3 linked regions of the Oryzias latipes genome follow. Each later gene encodes a partner of the first gene's protein in a complex. Links are inferred from orthologs where the notes say so. Each region holds a gene or a part of one and is shown in the gene's direction. Other genes may lie near its edges.

What was found.
Region 2: the proteins of med23 (region 1) and med24 are in contact, whole or in part, in a cryo-EM structure (PDB 7EMF), measured with the Homo sapiens proteins. The link is inferred for Oryzias latipes from reciprocal best matches to the Homo sapiens genes MED23 and MED24. Residues at the interface, in NP_004821.2 of Homo sapiens: Asn150, Thr151, Val152, Ser153, Ser154, Glu193, Gly194, Leu196, Pro197, Trp199, Leu201, Gly202, Asn203, Ser206, Asp207, Asp210, Arg213, Tyr258, Asp259, Lys260, Phe263, Ser1133, Arg1139, Ser1176, Glu1180, Glu1182, Trp1183, Val1184, Tyr1186, Arg1189; in NP_055630.2 of Homo sapiens: Lys238, Thr239, Leu280, Leu283, Lys287, Val291, Glu295, Cys336, Glu339, Phe340, Lys343, Leu344, Thr345, Pro346, Leu347, Asp349, Lys350, Gln353, Lys384, Glu720, Lys721, Trp723, Thr756, Arg757, Lys758, Glu759, His760, Met802, Asp803, Pro804.
Region 3: med23 (region 1) and med20 share a complex: the UniProt entries of both Homo sapiens proteins name them as parts of the mediator complex. The link is inferred for Oryzias latipes from reciprocal best matches to the Homo sapiens genes MED23 and MED20.

Annotation. Positions count from the first base shown.
Region 1 is NC_019882.2:15,911,692-15,915,340, reverse strand, and holds part of med23 (mediator of RNA polymerase II transcription subunit 23), read left to right. Parts: intron 1-1,084; coding exon 1,085-1,291; intron 1,292-1,370; coding exon 1,371-1,514; intron 1,515-1,631; coding exon 1,632-1,777; intron 1,778-2,825; coding exon 2,826-3,071; intron 3,072-3,160; coding exon 3,161-3,303; intron 3,304-3,485; coding exon 3,486-3,649. UniProt on the Homo sapiens protein: Required for transcriptional activation subsequent to the assembly of the pre-initiation complex. Component of the Mediator complex, a coactivator involved in the regulated transcription of nearly all RNA polymerase II-dependent genes.
Region 2 is NC_019877.2:9,579,957-9,584,112, forward strand, and holds the start of med24 (mediator of RNA polymerase II transcription subunit 24), read left to right. Parts: upstream 1-1,339; 5' UTR 1,340-1,459; intron 1,460-1,465; exon of another isoform or gene 1,466-1,585; intron 1,586-1,723; 5' UTR 1,724-1,724; coding exon 1,725-1,854; intron 1,855-1,939; coding exon 1,940-2,022; intron 2,023-2,149; coding exon 2,150-2,188; intron 2,189-2,271; coding exon 2,272-2,345; intron 2,346-2,664; coding exon 2,665-2,888; intron 2,889-3,030; coding exon 3,031-3,142; intron 3,143-3,237; coding exon 3,238-3,388; intron 3,389-4,156. UniProt on the Homo sapiens protein: Component of the Mediator complex, a coactivator involved in the regulated transcription of nearly all RNA polymerase II-dependent genes.
Region 3 is NC_019863.2:2,278,108-2,281,677, forward strand, and holds med20 (mediator of RNA polymerase II transcription subunit 20), read left to right. Parts: upstream 1-1,463; 5' UTR 1,464-1,573; coding exon 1,574-1,587; intron 1,588-1,759; coding exon 1,760-1,905; intron 1,906-2,452; coding exon 2,453-2,706; intron 2,707-2,776; coding exon 2,777-2,998; 3' UTR 2,999-3,053; downstream 3,054-3,570. Other genes in the region: bysl (bystin), read right to left, coding at 1-120, 218-374, 1,003-1,267. UniProt on the Homo sapiens protein: Component of the Mediator complex, a coactivator involved in the regulated transcription of nearly all RNA polymerase II-dependent genes.

The DNA of each region.
Region 1 (3,649 bases):
ACTAGAACCGTTTTTTGTGGCAGATTTCTCTCTTGGGGGTAAATGTCTGTGGATCCTTCTCTGTCCCTTCTCTGTGCCTTTGTTGCTCTGTTGCTGTTGTGTGATTGGGGTTGTGTAGAATAGACAAAAAGCCACGTTCAGCCTCACAGCTCCTCTTCCTCCTCCTCTTCCTGAGCTGCCAGTCTGCATGCGGGAATGTGTTGCATGCTTGGCGCTGACTCGCTGCTTGGTGTTCTGCTTTCATGGTCCCCGAACTTCTCTTTTGCTGTGCTGTGTCGTTCAATCCCTTTTCAAACGGACCCAACTTTATCTGTATTCACATATTATTATTTGTAATCCTTGGTTATGTTGGGGAAATGCAATCTTTTCTTTGATGAAATCATTTTTCCTGAAAATTTGCCTGCAGACTTTAAAACTCCACAATGTTTGGAAATGTTTCCCAGAATTCTCCACTGCCTTTACCTGAAGTCACCTGTCAAATATTTCTGTTTTACATTCTAACAGTAAAACAGTTTTTAAATTGAAGTTACTTTTTTATACATTAGGGAAATCAAAGGATCCATATGTCTGTGGATGAATAAGTTTAACCAAAATAAAATAAAAGGTAAATAAGAAAGAAAGAGAGGTTTGACTGTAAATATTTGCAAAGCTCCAGGAATCAGTTTTAGATAACTTCAGAACTCCTAATCCCATTTTTGTTTGATGTTTACCTGTTTTATTCCACGACCCCGCCTCCTAATGTCTAATTCTTTTACTTTATTTTATTATTTTGTTACCTGCGTCAGCTCTGCTTCTGTTCTCCCGTTTGTGTTGAAGTTGCTGAGGGCATGAAAAGCTTCCTTTTAGTTTGCTGCATTTGTTGAAAAAGTGGAAAGAACCGGAACAAGGAGGCCCCAAAACAAACCAGAACAGAGCTGAACTGAGAAGACATAGGCAGGAAGGAGACGCAGTCCTGCATGCAAGGGATTGAAATGTTTTTCTGTTTCTAAGTAACACCGGCTGGAGCATGGACTCTATTTGTTGTTTCTTGTTTCTTTTCCACCTGACCTCCTGTCCTCTCCGTTCTTTTACCCTCCTCTCCCAGCAAAAGCAGCGCTGCCCGGTGCTGGAGGAGCAGCTGGTGGACCTGGTAGTGTACGCCATGGAGCGCTCGGAGACCGAGGAGCACTTTGACGCCGACGTCGGGGGGACCAGTCAGCTGCTGTGGCAGCACCTCTCCTCCCAGCTCATCTTCTTCGTGCTGTTTCAGTTTGCCAGCTTTCCTCACATGGTTCTGTCGCTGCACCAGAAGGTTAGCAGGCCGCTGCAGCCACATAAAACCCCTTTGATTCAAATGTCTCACTCATCTTTCACTTGCTCTTTTGGCGTAGCTTGCAGGTAGAGGTCTCATCAAAGGGAGAGATCACCTGATGTGGGTGCTGCTGCAGTTCATATCAGGAAGCATTCAGAAAAACGCTTTGGCCGACTTCCTGCCAGTCATGAAGCTTTTTGACCTACTTTACCCGGAAAAGGAGGTACTTGTGCTCAAAGACGAATCCTGATCTTTTGTGTTTCTATAAATCCTCTCAGATAAAAACGTCTTTTTTGTTATTTTGGATCCGTCTCTGAATTTTGTGGTTGAACTTTTGCAGTGCATTCCTGTGCCCGACATCAACAAGCCCCAGTCGACTCACTCCTTCGCCATGACCTGCATCTGGATCCACCTGAACCGCAAAGCTCAGAGCGACAACTCCAAGCTGCAGATCCCCATTCCACACTCTCTGAAGCTGCACCACGAGTATGCATCTTCACCCGCCTAATGCATCCAAATAAATCAGAAAAAGTGGGTTTATCTACTTGGTGGCAGTGGCTCATGCGGTTGAACAGGTTCTCAAGTGATCGAAGGATCGGCGGTTCCACCCCCGCTCTCCCCGAGTAGACTGTCGTTGTGTCCTTGGGCAAGGCACTTCACCCTCCCTGCCTCCAGTGTGGCTCCACTGGTGTGTGAATGTGTATGAATGTCCCGGTGATGGTCAGAGGGGGCCGCCTCTGTCATCACCAAGTATGAGTGAGGAGTGACTGAATAATGGACACATTGTCTGAGCTTTGATCGTCTGGAAAATCGAATCCATTATTAGTATTTGTTTTTTTTAAAGACAGAATACATAAAAGTGTAATTTTATTGTTGTCAGGCAATTTACTTTTGGAAGGCAGTCGGACTGAATCGTCAAATACCTCAATAGTTGAAAGGGGCCCACCGTTGAGAGAATTTGAAAAAAAAAACTCTTTAAAAATGTGACTTTAATAGAAGTGGACTGCAGACGTCAGAGACTTGGAAGCCTCCACTCATAGATTTACTCAAAAATCCCTTATTTCAAGACACTACAGTGCACAGATTTTTCTGAGGCTTCTTTTACTTTGGAGAACAATGAAAGTTCTTTAGGTTTTAGAGTCTGGCAGTTTTAGTAACCAGTCCTCATGATGTTCGATTACTGTGTTTTTTTTCAGATCTCAGGCCAGTGCAGCCATCCAGCAGTTATATTTGAAATGATTTTATCTGCCTAAATTACCAAAGGTACCAGTTTTTAGTTTTAGGGACCATATCGTCTCCGATTAATCGAGAGTCTATTGATACGTAAAAAAGGATGATGAGCACAGAGACTTCTGTAACACTCCAGCAGTGCCTGAGAAGGGTTTCTTCCATTTATAATAAAGAAAATACTAGAATAGATCTGTTTTTTGTCATGTTCTGATTTATTGAGATGCACCTGTAAATACCTTCATTACTTTTTCTCCTTGGGTCAGCTCAGTGTGATTAAAAGCCCTCCCTTATCCATTTTTTTTAGGTTTTTGCAGCAGTCGCTGCGTAATAAGACCCTGGGCATGTCTGATTATAAGATCGCCCTGCTGTGCAACGCGTACAGCACCAACTCTGAGTGCTTCACCCTGCCCATGGGCGTCCTGGTGGAAACTATTTACGGAAACGCGTCCGTAAGGACCAGTTTGCCAGGCACTAACTGTATGGCATCAGGATCGGTCACCCCCCTTCCCATGAATCTGCTGGACTCCCTGACGGTTCACGCAAAGATGAGGTATGCGGGGGGAAAAAAAACAGACGGGAAGATGTGGAGTGAAGCAAATGTTTCACTGCTGCTGCTTTTGTCTGCTTTCTTGTCTCCAGTCTAATCCACAGCATCGCCACACGCGTGATCAAACTGGCCCACGCCAAGTCCAGCATCGCCCTGGCCCCCGCTCTGGTGGAAACTTACAGCAGACTGCTGGTCTACATGGAGATCGAGTCACTGGGCATCAAAGGATTCATCAGTCAGTCTCTATGGTCCTTTTTTGACTACTTTGACATTTTTTAGAAATGTTTATAGAAAATATATTGTCTCAATGAGCATTTTAAGTAGTGAATAATTACACATTTTACTCAAAAACCCCAATATTTTTGATTTCTAATCATTTTGGGGTGTAAAAAAAGCATTTTGGGTCTTGTTTTTCAGGCCAGTTGTTGCCCAATGTGTTCAAGTCTCATGCGTGGGGAATCCTACACACGCTACTGGAGATGTTTAGCTACAGGATGCACCACATCCAGCCGCACTACCGAGTTCAACTGCTGAGCCATCTGCACAGCCTGGCGGCCGTGCCCCAAACCAACCAGAACCAG
Region 2 (4,156 bases), on another chromosome or scaffold:
GAGAGAAAAAAGAATAAGAAAAACAGAAAAGCCTAACTAGAACTCACTTTTTAGTCTTTTAGAGGAACACCAACCAAATTTGGTCTCTGTTTTCTACTTTTTCTTTTTTACTTCTATTTGAAGTTTGTTGGAATAAATTGACTAAAGCTAAGAATTTTAATATAGTCGTCTTTTGTGTGCTTTCACTTGTTCAAAAATAAACAATACTGTTAATATTAATAACATTATTTATAGTAAATGTGAAATACTTTGTATTATAAATGTTTATTATGTTGTAGTTCTGCAGCTTTAACTGAGAAAGTAACTTGAAAGTGAAACAGACGTTATGTAATGAACCACAATGATGATACAATAATATTGTAAGATGGGGGATCACTTTTGAATAACAATAACAAGTAACATAATAAAGGTTGGAAGTGAGAAAAGCCAGAATCAGCACATGTCCTAATCTCTGAAATGAAGCCGTGAGAAAAGACACAGAGCTGCAGCCACAGTCCCTCTGATCACCCCTGTGGCAGATGGAGAGCTGTCACCACGCCTCCTCAACAGAGCCCTCAGTGTAAGGTAAAGGAGAAAAGATCATTCTCTCCAGACACACCTCCACACAAACACGCAACTTCATCAGTCCTCTAACACTTGTCCACCTAATATGCACTGATCATCTCTTTCGGTCTTACATAACTCTTGTCCCAGGACACAGACCTCACTCTAGTCAGTACATCATCTCCAGTAACAAGCAGAAAGAAGCTCTTTGTTGGCCCTGACTAATACAAGATTGGTCTGATGGAGATTGATGCAGAGAAAGGGTTCATTTTATTTTTGCAAAACAAATTTTTGTGCACACAAAAAAAAACAAAAATCGAACAAAGAACAAAAGCTCAGAAGCTTTTTTTTATTTTAGATTTTTAAATTAAAAGTGCACTGTGGGTTCCATAAATGTAAATTATTACTACATCATATTGTTATTTACTTATTCCTGTCTTCTCACTGTAAACGACTGGCCCGGGACCAGAGACGCTAATTTAAAATGACAATAAAGATTCCTGATTCCTTATTATTCTAATTTAATCATTGTGTTCATTTTGAAAATATATTTTTCATTATTCTTGCTATTGGGTAGTGATTTTCCAACTTTTTAAAAAAGAAAGAAAAAAGCTGAAATAAGCTTTTTTTTTTTTACTGCAAACTACATTTTAGAGTCCCATTCAATTTCGGATCTACTTCATAAGTTCTGTGGTTAACAGCGACATCTTGTGGTAGTAGACAGATTCTGCAGTCGAAGGTTGAGGCTTAAAAGCGAAAAACATCATTATCCAATCATCGAAAAGAATACTGGTGGAGTGTCGGGAGTAGCCAATGAGCGGCGGTGTTTTTCACAACAGCAATGGGGGTATCCTGCATTGTGGAGCTGTGAAACTAAAAAACAACCACATCTTGCGCTTTAACAAAACGAGAGCAGGTAGATATGAATTAAGTCAATAATGAAACTTTGAGAGGTATGTTCTGGCCTTTTCCGGGGACGATTCTGAGTTTGTTCGCGAAACAAGAGACGTTTAGTTTTTTTCTGTTAGCTAATATTGAGAAGGTATGCTAACAGCGAATCTAACAGCTGCATTGACTTGACCCAGTGTTTATATGTTAAAACGTGTGGCAATTTTGCTATTTTTTTGACATAAGTGAGTTAGCTATTCTCTAACAGATACGTGTGTTCGCTCCTTTCCAGCATGAAGGTGGTTAATTTGAAGCAGGCTATCCTGCAGGCGTGGAAAGAAAGGTGGACAGACTACCAATGGGCTGTCAACATCAAGAAAAACTTTCCAAAGGGAGCAACATGGGACTACCTTAACCTCGCAGGTTGTTGATTGTGATAAACAACGTCGGCGTTTCATCCTATAACATGTATGCATTTAATTTTCATTATTTTCTTTGTGTTTTCCAGAAGCTTTGATGGAGCAGGCAATGATTGGTCCATCCCCTAACCCACTCATCTTATCCTACCTTAAATATGCTATAAGTTCACAGGTTGGAAAGGAACTTTTATTTTGAAAACTGAACACACACATATATATACACATAAATGTGTATATACATAAATGTGTGTATATATATATATTTTTAAATAATGACTGTTAATGTTTCACTTTTCTAGATGGTGTCCTATGCTAGTGTGCTCACAGCCATCAGCAAGGTGTGTTTGATCATAAAAAGGACAGAAGATTCGCATTTAAATGGATCTCTGCTGCATTTGTAACCAATGTGTTTTGTTTATAGTTTGACGATTTCTCGCGGGACCTCTGTGTGAAGTCATTGCTGGACATAATAGACATGTTCTGCTGTCGCCTAAGGTCTGAATACTTCTGAGTAAACACCACTATTCTCTCCTTGTGACTTTCTCTTGTACATTTTTGTTATTTTATTTATTTATTTTTTGGACAGCAAATTTGTCAGGGTTTTAAATCTTCAATCTGCCTCACTTTAACTTGGAATTTTCAACAATTTTTATTGATATGTTTTTTTTTTAATTAAATCTTAACTGATTTACTTGTGTGCCAAGCCTTGTCTTATTGTTATTTCCCCAATACTTCACTTGCATATTGTATTTTATCTTATATTTGTACTATAGCTTTAATTGTTAATACTGTACATTGTTGTCTTCTCACTCAGCTGCCATGGCAAAGCAGAGGAATGCATTGGGTTGTGTCGGGCTTTGCTTGGGGTGGTGGTCTGGCTGCTGCAGGCCTGTGCGTGGTACTGCGAGAACCTGAGAGAGCTCGGACCGGTACCCAGCATAGAGGCTATTCTCAGAACATGTCAGGAGAGGCTTCATACCCTGATGAAAAGCACCAAGAACAGAGCTCTGGTTCATATCGCCCGATTAGAAGATCAAGGTTTGGGAATAAAATATTGAAAGACAATATTGAAATATGAATGTTATGGAAGAGAATGTAGGCATTTGTGCACACAAAGGTTATGGTCTTTGTTTGCATGTTCACCATTTGTAAGGTTTGATGTGAAATTCCTCTTCCAAAGGGTCCTGGAACAATGTGGAGCAAGCAGTGATTAAAGTTACGGAAGGTCTTGGAAATGTACCAAACCAAACATTAAGGACTTCACTGGAAGAAAGTTTGTTTTTAGTAAAAAGGTGAAGGTTCCTCAGCCACTAAGCTCTTACTCAAAAGTGTTTTAAAACATTAAAAAAAGTTAATTTTTCTTGGGATGACTCTTGACTCTCCCCAGTATTCCCAGCATGCTCTCTGTGCAGTGTGAGCTTCCAGTGCGTGCCTCCTTCCCATCAGTTCATGCCTTCATCATGCTGGAGGCAACCATGAATTTAATCGGAGAGATCCAGCCTTTGGTGGAGCAGTTAATGATGATCAAGAGAATGCAGGTGAGCTTGAAATTCATGACAAAATATTTCTATAATTTCTGTGATCTTCAGCCCTAAGTCAGAAATAGTCATATTCTTTTTGCAAATATTTTGCAGGTGAATTACCGGTAGTTTGAACATTGCAATTATGACTATGTAAAATATGTTAATTTGTAAAACTGTATTAAGAATTTACACATTTTTGCTCCTTCATGTTGACATAATCAGACCCTCTGAGCCTGAAGAGAACCATTTTTTCTTAATTTACTGTGCAATTACATTAAATTACATTCATATTTAGCTTTTTTAGCTTTGCTTTATACTGAAGTTTTTTATTTGTAATGAATAATTTACCTGCAAATGAAAGTGTCATCTCTCTATCTATCTAACTATCTATCTATCTATCTATCTATCTATCTATCTATCTATCTATCTATCTATCTATCTATCTATCTATCTCTTTATCTCTCTATCTATGACATAACAGAAAGAAGGTTCATGGTTAAATCATGTACGCTGAGCAAAACAATTATGTAACAAACATATTTGGGGTAAAAGTATTTTAAGCCATTTTTCTTCTAATTTTACCTCACAGTAGCATATTGAGAAAATTTCTCTTTGCAAATTAAAATAATTTGATTACATGAAAATTTAATTTAACCGTTGTTTCACAGTAATGGAACTTGTGTACAAAATGTTAAAAAATATTTATTTGCAACAACACATATCCATGAAAGATTTGCAATAAACTTTACATTAATGACATAATAAAAACAAAAAAGTCAAAAG
Region 3 (3,570 bases), on another chromosome or scaffold:
ACCTCTGTAATTCTGGGGTCCAGCTGAGGCATGGGGCGCCCTGACACCTCCGACATCACCGTCCCCACTTCGGTCTGCTTCTCAGTGATTTTCTCCATGATTATGTCTGCCAGGGTCCTCCTACGAGAAAGAGAAACATGTTAGTAGGGACAGAAGAAACTGGCCTGGTGGTTTCTGTTTGTTGTTGTTGGTTAGTCAGAACTGCCATGTTTCTTGCCTCATTGGTGGGTTTTTATTCATGAACATCTCAATGGCCTTTTCGTCTTCTGGGTCTACAATAATTTCAGCATCACATTCGGTTTCTGCCGCCCCAGAAACTGCTTCTCCCAGTGCGGGCCACTCTTCATCCGAGTCTGCATCCCCAGATTCAGGACCTACAGTTACAGGAGTGTTTAGAACTCACATAATGAAAAGATGCAGATCTAGATGTATGGAATCACCCAACTAACTACAGAAACGAGTAAATGAAAACATTATTACTTCTATTTTTAAGTATTTATTTACTGAAAGTATTTTAATTTGGAGTGTTTACTAAAACCATCATTAGTGAACAGTTAACTTTATTTTTAAGTCATAGCATTAGTGCATCCCTTAGCAAAAAGTAGTCTATTTAAGTAAACTACAAGTATACTGTCTATACTAAAAGTAAAGCAGTAAACTAGAATTTTCTTTTTATATACATTTAAAATTTTCCAATAAAAGTCTGAAAAAGTATTCAGTTACTATATGTCCTACACTACACGTACATGGTCTATACTTGTACACTACTACACACTTATTACTCAAGTATCCTTAAGTAAACTTCAAGTGTACTTGTCTTTGTTAAGGGTAGATGGGTCTGAATTGTGATGAATCTGTGATGCAACTTTACTAAAGTTGGTCATCGTTTTCTTCGGTAAGAAAAACTAGAACAAGAGAGAACCTTTAGAAACCTTAATCAACGGCTTCTGTTTGATCATTTTCTAAACTGAAGCGGATGTCCTGGTTCTGATCCAACATTACCAAGAACAGTGACCGGTGTCGCCTTCTTCTTCTCCGGTACCAGCCCATATTCGGTCTGAAGCTCCTCTTGCTGAATTCGGGCTTGCTGTAGGATTTTCCGCGACAGCCGCTCGTCTACGTAGGTGTCGTCGCTTTCTGGCCGCTGGTCTCTGCTCTTAACCCGGTTGCGGGCTCGGACCGTGTCCGTCTGCAGGATCTGGTCAGCCAGCGCCACGGATCCAGAGCTCTTTTCTCCTCCACCTTTAGATTTCTTCACTTTCGGCATCGCTACAGCTCCAAAAAAATTTACAAGCTAAAGCCTGTCTATGCCTTTTTAGTGTGTAAACACCCAGCTGTTTAGCACGTGCGGACAAACGGCATGCGCGACAGAGGCAGCGGAAATACATTACGTCACATCCGGTTTCATTAAAAATGTTTCGAAACATTATATATGAAAGAACCTATGTTTATTAACTGAGTTAATCAGTTTAACTCAATTCGTCTATGTTCACTTGTATTTTTATTTTATTTTTTCCTTTACCGGAAGTCAATTTGTTTAACCGGAAGTAGTTGCGAAGGAGGCAAAACAAAAATGGGAGTAACTTGGTAAGGAATATTTTGGCTCATTAAAGTGTAATTATTATTTCAACATAGTTTGGTTTCGCTATGTTTATAGGACCTGTCTATTTCAAATGTTTGTTCTTTTGGGGAAAGCGTGCTCCTCCCCTTCATGGATGCGTTGGGTTGTCGCTGCTCAGTCGGGTGTTTTGTCTTTCAGTGTTTGTCAGGTGCCCATAGCGGAGGGCAAGAGTGTGCAGCAGACCGTGGACGTCCTGCAAAAAAAGCTGGAGCAGCTCGGTTCTGTGAAACAAGGCAGCTTCTGCGTGGATTGTGAGACATACCACGCCACGGGAAACGTTGTCGGTAAGCTCGCTACTTTTTCAAGCATCACGCGGGAAACATATTAGTAGTTATTTATTCATGTGGTAATTAGTTGTGGTTGCTTAGACCTTTAAAAAGCAATTAAAAAAAGGTGATTGGCATATGAGCTCCGTTTGTGCCCTTGCATTTAATTGGTAGCATTTTTAACAAGAACATTCAGGGCTTTTGCTAATTCTTCCTTCAGACACATCTGCAGTAAATATGGGACACAATTAAGCATACATAGCCACTTTATCTTATGTGTGTTTGTCAAATTATCTTGAGAATATTTTACAAATTAGATAAGGGTCCTATTAGTTCTACTGGAGTGTGACGACAGATCACCCCTTCAGCTGCACTTTAATGGCTCTGGCCTTTTATGGTAGAAACCATCTCAAAGCCTTACTATAAAACCAAATATTGTTTAAGGTTTTAGACTTTAAAAACCTTTTTTACATCAATAACAGATGTGCCTTTATTTGAATCATGGATGTGGAGTTTATGTATTATTGAGTTGAATGCATCATCCAGTGTTTCCCGTCTGTCACAGGTCAGCCCTCCAAGCTCTTATACGTGATGCATAACTCTGAAACCCCTCTGAGCTGCATGGCCCTATTCGAAGGAGGACCCTACTTAGTAGCTGATGCTAACTTTGACGTCCTCATGTCCAAGTTAAAAAGTCATTTCCAGAACGCCAAGGGACACAAGGTGGAGAGTCGAGGCTCCCGCTACCGATACTGTGACTTTTTGATAAAGGTGGGCACTGTGACGATGAGCTCCAGCGCCAGAGGCATTTCAGTGGAGGTATGGAAATGCAGTTTGTCCCTTTCAGCGGGACGGGTGGACATGATGTGCCCTGTGTGTTTTACTGCAGGTGGAGTACTGCCCCTGTGTGGTTCCTGGGGACTGCTGGAACCTCATGAAGGAGTTCATGCAGTCTTTTCTTGGCACCAGCGTTCCCGAACTTCCATCTGTGTTTGCTGCTAAACCCGAAGGGCTTTTTGCAGCAGCGGACTGTGTTGACACCATGACGCAGTACTTGGAGTTGTTCAACAAACTTCGTAAACTGCAGATCCCAGGGAGTAATGTACGTTAGGTCAGGAAAGCAAACTGGCCTTTTTGTATTTTATTTTCTTTTGGGGGGGGGGGGGGGGGGGGGTTGTATCAAATGCTTGATTATGTTTTTCTGAAACTTTTGAAAACCAACTTCTGGAACATTTATTTTAGGAACTTAGTTGAATGTCTTTGCAATAAAGAAATCAGGTGGAGGTAAGAAACCAGAGCCTTTTTTTAATGTAGCTGATGCATTTTTTAGTTCAGAAAATGTTAGGTGAACTAGAAGGAGCCGCATTTCCAGAAGAAAATTCAGGGTTGAATGCTATATTGTTGAATGAAAATGAACCTTTAAAGGGTAAGAATTGGCACAAAAAAGGAAAGAAATGATCAAAGTTGAACAACAATAAAGTGAAAACAGCACAATAACAAATAGATACGTGTGTGAAAAATGCCAGAGGGATCAAACCAGCGAGCTTCTGCACCAAGGATTCCCCATGGATTTCTATGGAGGCAAAAATCCTGGAATATCTGGAAAAGTTCAAGGATTTGAAGGACTATAAAGCACAAGCCAGTCTCATACTTGATAAATGTCAATGATGCATGATAACTGAC